Linked DNA regions of Daphnia pulex. The protein of the gene in region 1 interacts with the protein of each later gene in a biochemical or structural test. Links are inferred from orthologs where the notes say so. Each region holds a gene or a part of one and is shown in the gene's direction. Other genes may lie near its edges.

Evidence for each region.
Region 2: the proteins of ubiquitin-conjugating enzyme E2 N (region 1) and E3 ubiquitin-protein ligase Arkadia-like form a complex in vitro, tested with the Homo sapiens proteins (4 studies listed by BioGRID). The link is inferred for Daphnia pulex from reciprocal best matches to the Homo sapiens genes UBE2N and RNF111.
Region 3: of the proteins of ubiquitin-conjugating enzyme E2 N (region 1) and ubiquitin-like modifier-activating enzyme 1, one has a biochemical effect on the other in vitro, tested with the Homo sapiens proteins (10 studies listed by BioGRID, with this or other methods). The link is inferred for Daphnia pulex from reciprocal best matches to the Homo sapiens genes UBE2N and UBA1.

What each region holds. Positions count from the first base shown.
Region 1 is NC_060019.1:11,513,182-11,516,373, forward strand, and holds ubiquitin-conjugating enzyme E2 N, read left to right. Parts: upstream 1-1,234; 5' UTR 1,235-1,431; coding exon 1,432-1,461; intron 1,462-1,589; coding exon 1,590-1,680; intron 1,681-1,753; coding exon 1,754-1,909; intron 1,910-2,146; coding exon 2,147-2,328; 3' UTR 2,329-2,692; downstream 2,693-3,192. Other genes in the region: protein AAR2 homolog, read right to left, coding at 1-30, 94-210, 274-389, 483-649. UniProt on the Homo sapiens protein: The UBE2V1-UBE2N and UBE2V2-UBE2N heterodimers catalyze the synthesis of non-canonical 'Lys-63'-linked polyubiquitin chains. This type of polyubiquitination does not lead to protein degradation by the proteasome.
Region 2 is NC_060024.1:8,994,934-8,999,001, reverse strand, and holds the start of E3 ubiquitin-protein ligase Arkadia-like, read left to right. Parts: upstream 1-1,268; 5' UTR 1,269-1,429; intron 1,430-1,492; 5' UTR 1,493-1,581; coding exon 1,582-4,068. Other genes in the region: SAFB-like transcription modulator, read left to right, coding at 1-251; UDP-N-acetylglucosamine transferase subunit ALG13 homolog, read right to left, coding at 332-751, 817-924. UniProt on the Homo sapiens protein: E3 ubiquitin-protein ligase. Required for mesoderm patterning during embryonic development. Acts as an enhancer of the transcriptional responses of the SMAD2/SMAD3 effectors, which are activated downstream of BMP.
Region 3 is NC_060018.1:5,974,030-5,978,103, reverse strand, and holds the start of ubiquitin-like modifier-activating enzyme 1, read left to right. Parts: upstream 1-1,274; 5' UTR 1,275-1,422; exon of another isoform or gene 1,423-1,568; intron 1,569-1,674; 5' UTR 1,675-1,694; coding exon 1,695-3,071; intron 3,072-3,132; coding exon 3,133-3,216; intron 3,217-3,287; coding exon 3,288-3,707; intron 3,708-3,791; coding exon 3,792-4,074. Other genes in the region: polynucleotide 5'-hydroxyl-kinase nol9-like, read right to left, coding at 1-914. UniProt on the Homo sapiens protein: Catalyzes the first step in ubiquitin conjugation to mark cellular proteins for degradation through the ubiquitin-proteasome system.

The sequences.
Region 1 (3,192 bases):
GAAGGGGTTCCACTTTCCCAACTACATCAGCTAAATATTAATTGTTAGACATTTTATTTTTGTACAGATTACATAATGTATAAGAAAATATACTTGTCAATTTACTGCTGAGAGACATCCATTTCTTCCAGGTATCAAATGGATATGGACCCAAGTGCTGATCAAGATTTTTTAAATTGGCTTTTAAACTTTCTCTTTCTTCATCAGTACCTATTATGGATAAACACTAAATAATAAATTAATATTAAATAATGATTTATAAAATAAAATTACAATCGTTGATGACATCTTCTATTTCTGGGTTCCACTTACGGACCACAACTTCCTTCTTATTGAAGTTGTAAAAGAAACCTGTTCTTGGCGCTACGGAACCTTCCTTGCTTACAGAGCTAGAAATTATATAAAAATATACAATCACATTTTGTACCTCACAGTGAATGTTACACTCACACAACTGTTCTAACAAAAAATAACTTATTTGCCTGTAATAAATATAGTGAATTCCAGGGGGTATCATTTTTATGCCTTTGAATTTTTCGCCGGTTCTCCAACTGTTGAAATCTATTCCTACTTCAGTCCCAATTGGTACGCCAAGAAGAAATAAAAACGCGCCCTCTTCAAATAATTTGTTAGCCAATTTTTGATCCATTCTTTCCGTGTTTGACACTTGATGGTTTATATTTTAAAACAGAATGAAGCTGAGTGAATGAAACCACGCAAAAGCAATGAACGAACAATACTAGCAGACGACAGTTTAAAAACAAACAACATGGAGGTCAGACGTCAGATCAGTACCGGATGCCGACTTGCCGAGTTAAATTCTAGCAATTTTGCATAAAAAAAGGGAATAAAATTAACATGAAGAAGGATAGGAGAAGAAAGTGATAAAATAAAAAATTTTATGTGTTGAAGCCTGCCATTCAATCTTAATCATGCCTTATTAGTTAATTTGCCCTTTTTCAATTTATTTCAACTTTCAAGTCGAAATTCTTTCTAGATGATTCATGAAAATAATTAAAATATTCCGCAAACAGAACAGCCAATTAATCTAACCAAAAAATTTTTACTGGTCATTTTCTACGGTTCTGAAATAAAGGTTTAAACTCATTTCCGGCATTTGAAAAGCAATACCTTTTGTTTAGCTTTCTCGTGTATTTCCGTTTGTAAACCAATTCAAATAAACTTTGTTCATTTTAAATAAATCGTCTTAATTTGAAAAATAATATGTTTATATGTCTAATTCTTCCCGTGTGGCCGGGTCGATCTCCTACCGATTTTCGTCACCAAACAATTTGACAACGTCTTAAATTAGCAATAGGGCACTCGTATAGCGTGAAAACTTTCCGTCTTCTCTATTTGGCTTTAAAGTTACCATCTATTATACGAAAATCTTATTTTATACTCGTTGTTTGTTCAACAAATTGATGCGAAATGGCAGGCTTACCTAGAAGGATAATCAAGGTAACACAAATCTTAATTGTAGACTTGCATCAAAGTGGGAGGCAACGTGTTTTTTTCTCCCGATCCTATTATGGGACCGGTAGTATTCTCTAGCAATATAGTATATTCGTCATTAATTTGATCAATAGGAAACTCAACGTTTGATGGCTGAGCCTGTCCCAGGCATTAGTGCAGTTCCAGATGAACAAAATGCTCGTTATTTCCATGTTGTGGTTGCAGGTCTGTAAACTTAAATTGCAACCTTAAAGTGTCATTCTGGTACTGACTAGTTCATATTGATTAAAATTCATAGGTCCAGAAGGTTCTCCATTTGAAGGTGGTGTTTTCAAATTGGAACTATTTTTGCCTGAAGAGTACCCAATGTCTGCACCTAAAGTGCGATTCATGACAAAGATTTATCACCCTAATATTGATAAACTTGGCCGAATTTGTCTTGATATTCTGAAAGGTGATTATTTTTATTACTTTAGTGTTTGCTCTATCAAGATTGTCAAGTGTTATGTGTTCTATGCATGTATAATCTTGTGTTTTGGTTATCAGGGTATACCTGTATTGTTATGACATTTGTGCTTTGAATTTTTAAGTAACTGGGGAAAAAATCAGTTTTAACTTCAGAAAGTTGCATTTGCTTGAAAAACTTAAGTGTGTGGATTTGGCTTTGTTTAATATTTTCTAATATTTTCAGATAAATGGAGTCCAGCTTTGCAAATTCGGACAGTGCTGTTGTCGATTCAAGCTCTATTGAGTGCGCCCAATCCCGATGATCCATTGGCCAATGATGTTGCTGAGTTGTGGAAAGTCAACGAGGTAGAAGCTATTCGTAATGCTCGAGAATGGACCAGAACTTATGCTATGGGAAACATATGAAACCTGGATCTGTGGAAGGAAAAAGAGTAAAATTGTCAATCCGTTACCGAGAAATTGTGTTTGAATTTAGATTATTTTGCTTTCTTTTGTTCCTCGTCCATCAGCCTTTGTCGACTGATTCCCCTCCCTTCAATTGGTTGAACTGTCCCCGATGGTGATCAGCCAAAAAACTACATTTTGCTCGTTCTTATATCCCAATCTTCTTTTGTTTGCTCGTCAAAAGTTCTATCGACGGTTCATTCCAATTCACGCGTCGTTAAAATGATCGTCGATAGCCTACACTTTTTACCGTTTAGTACCACGAGTACCTCAAAAGGATACTAAAGAATAATAAAAATGCCGTCACCCGTGGAAGTCTAGAGTATCAAATTGTACAGCTGTGTATTTACTTGTCGTGGATGAGGAGGGTGAAATTATAAAGACGGATGAGAGCGCACATTTATCACGAAACGAAAACCATCCACTCGACAGACATAATCAATTTTTTACCAAATCTTCCCCGACCTCTTCGCACCGTTCAGATGAGGTAGGTTCAAACCGAAAAAGGGAAGCGAATATTGGTACTGAGATCCGATCAGAAACAGGAATTCCCAACACTCAAAAATAATCTCCAACATTATGGAATTTCGTGGTTACAAAAAAAAAAAAGGGAAAAACTTTGAATCCAGAATAGTTATAGACAACTGCCTCTTGGTTTTTCATGTATAGTTTTCGGTTTGGACGTCTGTCGCTCCAGTTCTATCTCACTGAAATTCGGTTGGGACCAAATTATAGCCTTTATAGATATTTAAAAATTATATACTTCTTGGCAGTTGAGAAAAGATCGGTATGGGGTCAATTGGGTGCGCAAACAAATACAGTTCA
Region 2 (4,068 bases), on another chromosome or scaffold:
ACACCAGCTGGTCTGGCAACGGAAGTACGCAACAAGATCGCTGGAGCGCATCGTCATCCTCGTTAATGCCTGTCGGAAGGTCAATGGCGTCGTCTGGATCATTTAATAACAACTGGACTGGATCAGCTCCCCCTCTTAGTGGATCCGCGCAATATAATCCAGCGACAGGAAACATAGGGAGTCTTAACAACCCTGTTATCGGGCAGTCTGGATCCGTTGGCTATTCGGCAGATCGTTATTCGCGACACTAACTTTATCGCATCATATCCAACCGTTTTTTTTTTTCAACTTAGACGTTTACAATGTATGAAATCAATACACAAATTGAACTTTATTTTTGAAATCCCATCAATTTTTCAAGGTAGGCTGAGAATGCAACTGGATTATTTCTAGGAAATTTCTGGAGTTTAGTAGTTCTAAAATCAACAATGGTAGTTTTTAAGGTTTCTGGATAGCACATATAAACATGTCCTTCAGAATGTAACTTCTCAGCAAGTTCTAGCTGGTGATTGCCCATCAGCTTCTGGTTAACCACAACAATTAATGGCTTTGCTACACTGAGGGCCTCAAGACAACTGCCAGCACCAGCATGTGAAATGATTAGGGAGGCTTTTTCCATATCAGAAGAAATGTTTTCTTTAAAATGATAACAAGATATTTGTATTCTTCGTGAAATAGGAATTGGAGGTTCAACACCAAGTCCAATTTGCAGAACAAGATGTGTGTACCCATCATCTTCCAAAATCTGATGCTCAAATTTTATACATTATTATTTACTAGGAAAAATGTGTAATGCAACGTAAATATCGAACATACCTCTAACGTGTTTGGATGCAAAACTTGAGTTATTAATTCGTCAAACTGGGTAGTCCCTACAGTAACAAAAACGATTTTACTTCCCGATTCTTTATGTGTCACACTCATTTCGAACGACAGCAATACTAGTATTTCAGTTCACTTATGGACATTCCCCACAAAAAATTCTCAACTTGTTTACGAAATTGTGATATTTATTATTCAAAAAAACGAATAACTAATCTGTCAGAATGTCAGTCAGCCAGTCAGGCAAAAGGAAAAGAGACGATGACAGTTTTGTTCATATTTTTTTAAATATTATTGAATGAACTCTAAAATTACGTAAACTTTATTAATTTAGAAATTCTTAACTCATAAATGTAATTATTTTTAAGTTATTTAATGAATCATTTCATCATTCAAACTTACAACCAAAAATAAGTAAAAAAATCGATGTTGACCGAAATATTGGCACTTGGCAGCACCGTTGGCACTTGTTTACAGCAAAGACAATTGTCTCATCAGCTGTCCTTAACTGGAAAGAAAGGGTTTTGTACTTGATTGGCGTGACTCTTTGCCCTTTACCGAGTTTTCATACAGGATTACTGTTAAGTTTGTTTTTCAGTCTTTAATGGTAAGTCAAACTAATCTTAATTTTAATGACAAATGGTTTCATTATATAAACATATTTCATCAGGTGGTGTAGGGAGGAAAACGTCATCGTCTTTTCTTCCCTTGGGAGCATCTTGCCTCGAGCCGTCTCTATCGAGTGAGTTGTTATCAATAATGGGTGACGAACAAGCTGGCCCGTCTAGAAAAAATACAATGGACACTGAAAGATCCAATAGCTCGGGAACAAATAGTAGCAAGTCAGCAACAGAAAATGTTCCGAAACAAACATCACTTTCAGCAGAAGAAACAAACAATCACTTGGCATTTGGAAATGGAAGGACTAATCCGCCCAGAACACCTAGTAGGAATTGCCCTTCTATTGATGGTGAATGTCCATCAGGCCATTTTGATGAAGAGGATTTGGACATGCCAGAATTAGAAACTCCCAGCCCTGTCTTGATGCCGTCACAGCTGCTCTCACCCCCAGTTGCACTCCACTATGATGAAACTTTGCCATTGACTCTTCAAATGCCAACAAGTATTAATGTCAGTGTTAACTTGCAACCTTCAGTGTACAGTCTGTCTGGACCACCAGATCCTGTATTCCTTGACGACAGTATGGAGAGTGGGGAGAGAGAGATCACTATCACTCGAAATCCTTATTTCGATCCCTCTCTCTCACCTGGCCCAGTCGACGAGTTTCTTTCTCTTGCCTCCTTCAGTAGCCACGTCGATGGCTTTCACTTTGGACTGGAGGAGGCACCAGCACCTCCCCATTGGGCCAACAGTAACCGCGTAGAATCTTTTCCTCCAGCTGCTGCTTCTGCTGTAGCAGCATCATCTTCATCATCTGATGTCCGCCGAAAAAGACCGAATACAACTCAACAGGATTCAAATTGCAACGCATCGAAGTCCAAAAAACAAGCCGAGACTTCTGGTGGAGAACCTGTACCCGGTCCATCGGGTATCGGAGTTGCAAGAACGGTAACTGGCGATGATGGCCCAGTTGCTGATGATCTACAATTAGAATGTCTGACTGACGGTTCCTCCTCTGCTACCGAATCAGACATTGACGATGACGATAGTTGCATCGAAGTAGTAAGCGTCCGACCTGGTCTATTGCGTTCTCAGCATCAACCCGAAGTCGTAGATCTTACCATTTCAGAAGACGAAACGTCGACTCCCAATCCTTCTACATCGTCGGGCTATTCTCGTTCTACTGGGAGACAGCCCAAACCATCGTCGTCTGTAAAGTCAAGAGCTATACCTAAAGCAGAGCCTCCAATGGCACCAATACCGGTTGTGATTGAAGAGAACAATCAGCCAGACGCTGAAGTAAGACGAGCATCGCCGGCCTTTGTGTCCGTTACTCCATCGTCCTCTGCAGGAAACCGCCCAGGTGCTTGGTGCGGATGTCCAGGGCAGTTTTACGTGGACGGAGGACGGCCCACGCCCATGGGTGTAGCTTGGCCAAACAATGGTAATCCAATACGAGCACATTACATTCCTAATCAGTCTCTTCGACCATCTCCGCTAGCTCATCATGCCACTGCCTTTTCGTATACACCACCACCGCCAGCTTATCACCATCCTCCACCACCGCCAGTTCTGACTCTACGTTTGCCGTCAACCGTTCAAACCCACGGTGGAGCTCGTTCGCCCGTCTGGTGGAGTTATCCAAGTATGGCCGTTGAAACAGTAGCCACTCCGTCACCTCAACACGTAGCAGGAGATGGATCTTCTAATCAGGCTGCGGCCATTCCACTGCAACCCAGTCAGCTGGTTGAAGCCACTTCTGTCGCTCAACCTGCACCCGTTTTCGTTCCTCAAACAACTGGTATTTACCATGCGGCCCCCACTTCACGACCCGTGGACGGACGTTGTACGATGCCGCCTGCCATTGCTCGAAGCTTCATGCGTATCCATCCCATTCACCAGAGGATTTGGCATTCACAGCACCGCTCGCAAGAAGCTCTTCGACGTCATATGGACATGGCACAACGTGTCGCAGCTGGAGAAACCGTCGAAGTTAGCGGTCCGTCATCGATTCCGGATTCTCCGATGATGAGTCAAGGCATTCAAAATCAACAACAACCCACTGGTTTCTCTGGTCCGCCTCCTCCATATCATCCAGTTGCACTGGAGCGCAACAGCAGTCCTTCGCCACAATTCAGAACTGTTCACGCTCCCGATTTGAGTAGCCACATGATGCCGGCCGTTCAAGCTGAAATTGTCGTTGAAAGTTCTCCTGTCAATTTAGATCCTCGCCATCACCATTTGCCTCCTCCTCCTGCCTATGCTTTTGCTCCGTCTTACCACCACCACATTGCCCATTTCAGTCTGCCTGGCAATTTGCATATCAGTATAGGTCCAGGACCAGCCATCCCGCCCGCAGTACCACCACCACCACCTCGAACCGTACCAATGGAACGCGTTCCACCACCTGCCATGCCCGGTGTTCAAGGTGCCGCAGCAGTCGAAATCCAACCAGCCCATCAGCAGGAGCAACCTTACCACCGTGGCTACCCGTTGTACATTCACCACCAGCAGCACGGTCACCACCACCATCCTCCACCACCATTGATCCCACTGGGCAACAGTCCATTCTTGAGCGGATCACCACATCACTACCCATTTTTACGTCCTTCAACGCGTTTGGAA
Region 3 (4,074 bases), on another chromosome or scaffold:
AGTTTGCCAAATAGGTTGCGATTTTCATCTCTCCAATAATTAGATTCTGGAGGAACGCACTCTTCTTTCTTGAGGATGTTGATGGGGAAAATACGGCTGATGTAATCAATCATTCCAAAGTTAAGGGAACGCAAAATAAGCAAGACATTTTCAGAGCTCTTTTTCTTCAAAAGATTTTCTTCACACGTCAACCCAGCAGACTTCAAGAGAGCGTGAGCGCGGCTTGCATTAAAAGACGTATTGCTTTTTCCGACTGAACGGATGCACTGCAGACTGTATCCTCTAGGAGAAAAAACATGGTATGTTTTACTTAAATTCTGCTCAATAGAAAAGCCTTGCATCTCGGCAATCCCACTAAGACATGTCAAACTAAGACGTCCTTTGAAGTAAAAACATGTCTGAAATGGGATGAATGCTAGAACTTCATTGGGATTAATTAGAAGGAAATCAAATGTATCCAGAGTTTGGTAGACTGCTTGCAAAGAACTTGATTCCTCATCCATAGCAAAGGTTTCTTCAATACCTTCTTTTTCTGCTGTTAAAAAAGAATCATCCTCATTGGGAGAGGATTGGAATGAATTATCTTCATCAGAAATGTTGCTCTCCTTTAATTTAAGTTTTAAGGCACCAATGCCAGTCACCGACACACTTTGATTAATGGTTGAACTGTTGTCTACATTTAATTTGGATGATGTTTTGTTCTTTCGTGAAGTTTTTTTTTTAAGTTTTGATCTTTTCGAAGTTGGTTTGGTCTGTCCATTTTTTAAGGAATCATAGACACTTTTGGCTGAAAGCAAATGACTGACAAATGACAATTTTTTCTCTGCCATATTTGTTGAGTCAGAACTATCGTTTGTGTTGCTTTTTCTTGAAGAAGAAGCAGTCTTCGTTTTTTTGGTTGAGAGTTTCTTCATATTTGTCAAATCTTCGTGGAGGCTTAATGAATCTTCAAGAAAATTTTGGTTTGAGTTTTTATTTTAGTAAGCTATTTTAATAATATTCAATTATACCTGATTAGATCCTATTGTTATATTTTATTTTAAAAAATGCAGATTTTACAGTATTTTTAAGCAGCCGAATTTTCAATCCAAGCACGTGTAAAACTGTAAGCTATAACGCTCAAGTTGCCAGATGCTCTTTAATTCAGCGATCAAATTGTCGGCGGGAAATGTAACTATTATTACGCGTACTTTCTTTGTCATCATCATCACTCTATTTAATAATCGGCTAATAAAAAAGTCGACTATTGCGCCACCTTACTCGTTGATTACAGACATTTTTACTTTGGATTTTAGTAGGAATAGGGAATTGCCGGTACAAGGACTTACTTGCATCAGCTGATACCCGCCATTTCCCCATATCTACGTCGAGTCATCGGTGGGAGAAAGGTGGCAGCACGCAGCACTTTCGAGTTCATAGAAAGTACTGGTAATTACTGACTGACTTTCTGTTGCTCTCTTGCTCGTCATTCTTTCAGTTTGGCTATCTTTCGTTCCAATCCTGGTGTGCAAATTCGCCGGCATTTTGTCGTAATTGTTCATAATTCTCCCTTCGTTGGAATAGTCTAAGTGAGTATTCCAATCGTTCGGAGTTTGAAACTTACCGTAATTTTTTTTATATTAAAGTAAGAAAACTGGTTTGTTAGCACCCATTGTGACGCTCGTGTTGCCCAAGGTATTGAGTTTAATTTTTAGATGTCCACTGCTGAGGTGGATCCGTCACCCTCGTCTCCCAGTCCTGCTGCAAAGAAAAGGAAGTTGGAAGAAAATAACGGGAACAGCAGTAACGGTAGCAATCACCATTTAAAAGAAGTTCAGCAGCAACCGAAAATGGCAGGAAATGGCAACATCCACACCATCGATGAGGGTCTTTATTCCAGACAACTTTACGTATTGGGCCATGAAGCTATGCAGAGGATGGCAACTTCTGATGTCCTGATTTCCGGTCTTGGAGGCCTTGGAGTGGAAATTGCTAAGAATATCATCTTGGGAGGTGTGAAGTCCGTCACCCTTCATGACAACTCAATTTGCAAAGCCTCTGACCTTTCTTCCCAGTTTTATGTATCGGAAGCAGATCTGGGAAAGAACAGAGCTGAAGTTTCTCACAAGAGCCTGGCCGAACTCAACCAGTATGTCCCAGTAGAAACTTATACAGGAGAGTTGAACAAAGAATTCTTGAAGAAATACCGAGTTGTAGTTTTAACTAATTCAAGTCTTGAAGAGCAACTTCGGGTTTCTGAGATCGTTCGTAGCTTCGGCAATGCTCTCATCGTCTCTAAAACACAAGGTCTGTTTGCCCAAGTCTTCTGTGACTTTGGGGAAGATTTCACCATCATCGATACTACTGGAGAAAATCCCGTTTCTGCTATGATTGCTGGAGTGTCTAAAGAAGAAGCAAGTGTTGTTACTTGCTTGGATGAGACCCGGCACGGATTGGAAGATGGCGACTGTGTTACCTTCTCTGAGGTACAGGGCATGGTTGAGCTGAATGGTTGCGAACCCAAGAAGATCAAAGTACTTGGACCATACACCTTTAGCATTGGTGACACGAGCGCTTTCAGCGACTATGTACGTGGAGGAGTGGTTACCCAAGTGAAAATGCCTAAGCAAATCCACTTCAAACCGTTGGCTGACGCTCTCGAAGAACCAGAATTCGTGATGACAGATTTCGGCAAATTTGATCGGCCTCCCCAAATCCATCTAGCATTCAGGACATTGGACGCCTACGTCAAGAAGGAGGGACGATTGCCAACTCCTTGGAGCCGTAAAGACAGTCAACAGTTTGTGGATTTAGCTAAAGAGTTAAACAGCGGTCTAAGTGGCTCATCTAAAGTTGAAGAAGTTGACGAAAAGTTACTGGCCACCTTCTCCCATGTATGTCAAGGAGATTTGAACCCCTTAAACGCCACTCTCGGCGGGGTTGTCGCTCAAGAAGTTATGAAGGCGTGTAGCGAAAAGTTTTCTCCCATTGTTCAATGGCTATACTTCGATGCCACCGAGTGTCTGCCAGATAACCAAGATTCGTTGACCGAAGAAAACTGTAAGCTTACTGGATCCAGATATGATGGACAGGTATTGAAATATTTATTTTTGTTTTTCATCAGTTATGCATTTTATTTTTTTACATTTTCAGGTGGCAGTGTTTGGCAATGAATTCCAGAAAAAGCTTGGATCCCTACGTTACTTCATTGTGGGAGCTGGAGCTATCGGTTGTGAGGTAATTATCAAAGTTTTTGTAATAAATTTTCTGTAGATTTTATTAATTAAAAAATATATTCTATTTGTTAGCTTCTCAAAAATTTTGCCATGATTGGAGTTGGTGCTGGTGAAGGGGGCCAAGTCTTCGTAACAGACATGGACTTGATTGAAAAGTCCAATCTGAACAGGCAGTTTCTTTTCCGGTCGCATGACGTACAGAAACCCAAATCCAGTTCGGCGGCCGCTGCCGTGAAGGTGATGAACCCTCAGGCCAACGTTACAGCCTTCGAGAATCGCGTCGGTCCCGAAACGGAGCAGTTCTTTGATGACGATTTTTTTTCGAAATTGGATGGCGTTGCTAATGCCCTCGACAACGTGGATGCCCGTATCTACATGGATAGGCGCTGCGTCTATTACCACAAGCCCTTGCTCGAATCTGGAACTCTGGGTACCAAAGGAAACGTTCAAGTTGTTATCCCCCATCTAACGGAGTCATATAGTTCGTCTCAAGTAATATAGCTTATTATTTATTTTTTCTTTTATGCTAGTTTTCTGGTTTATTGTAATTAATCAACTTTCTTCTTAAACTTATAGGATCCTCCGGAAAAATCAATTCCTATCTGTACGCTGAAGAATTTTCCTAATGCCATTGAACACACACTGCAATGGGCTCGGGATATGTTCGAAGGGTTGTTCCGGCAATCAGCAGAGAGCGCTGCTCAATATTTAGTTGATTCTAAATTCATGGAGAGAACACTAAAGCTAACAGGATCTCAACCACTCGAGATAGTCGAGGCCGTCCACCGCAGCTTAGTTGAGGAACGTCCGAAGAATTTTGAGCAGTGTGTTCAATGGGCTCGCCTCCATTGGCAGGAAC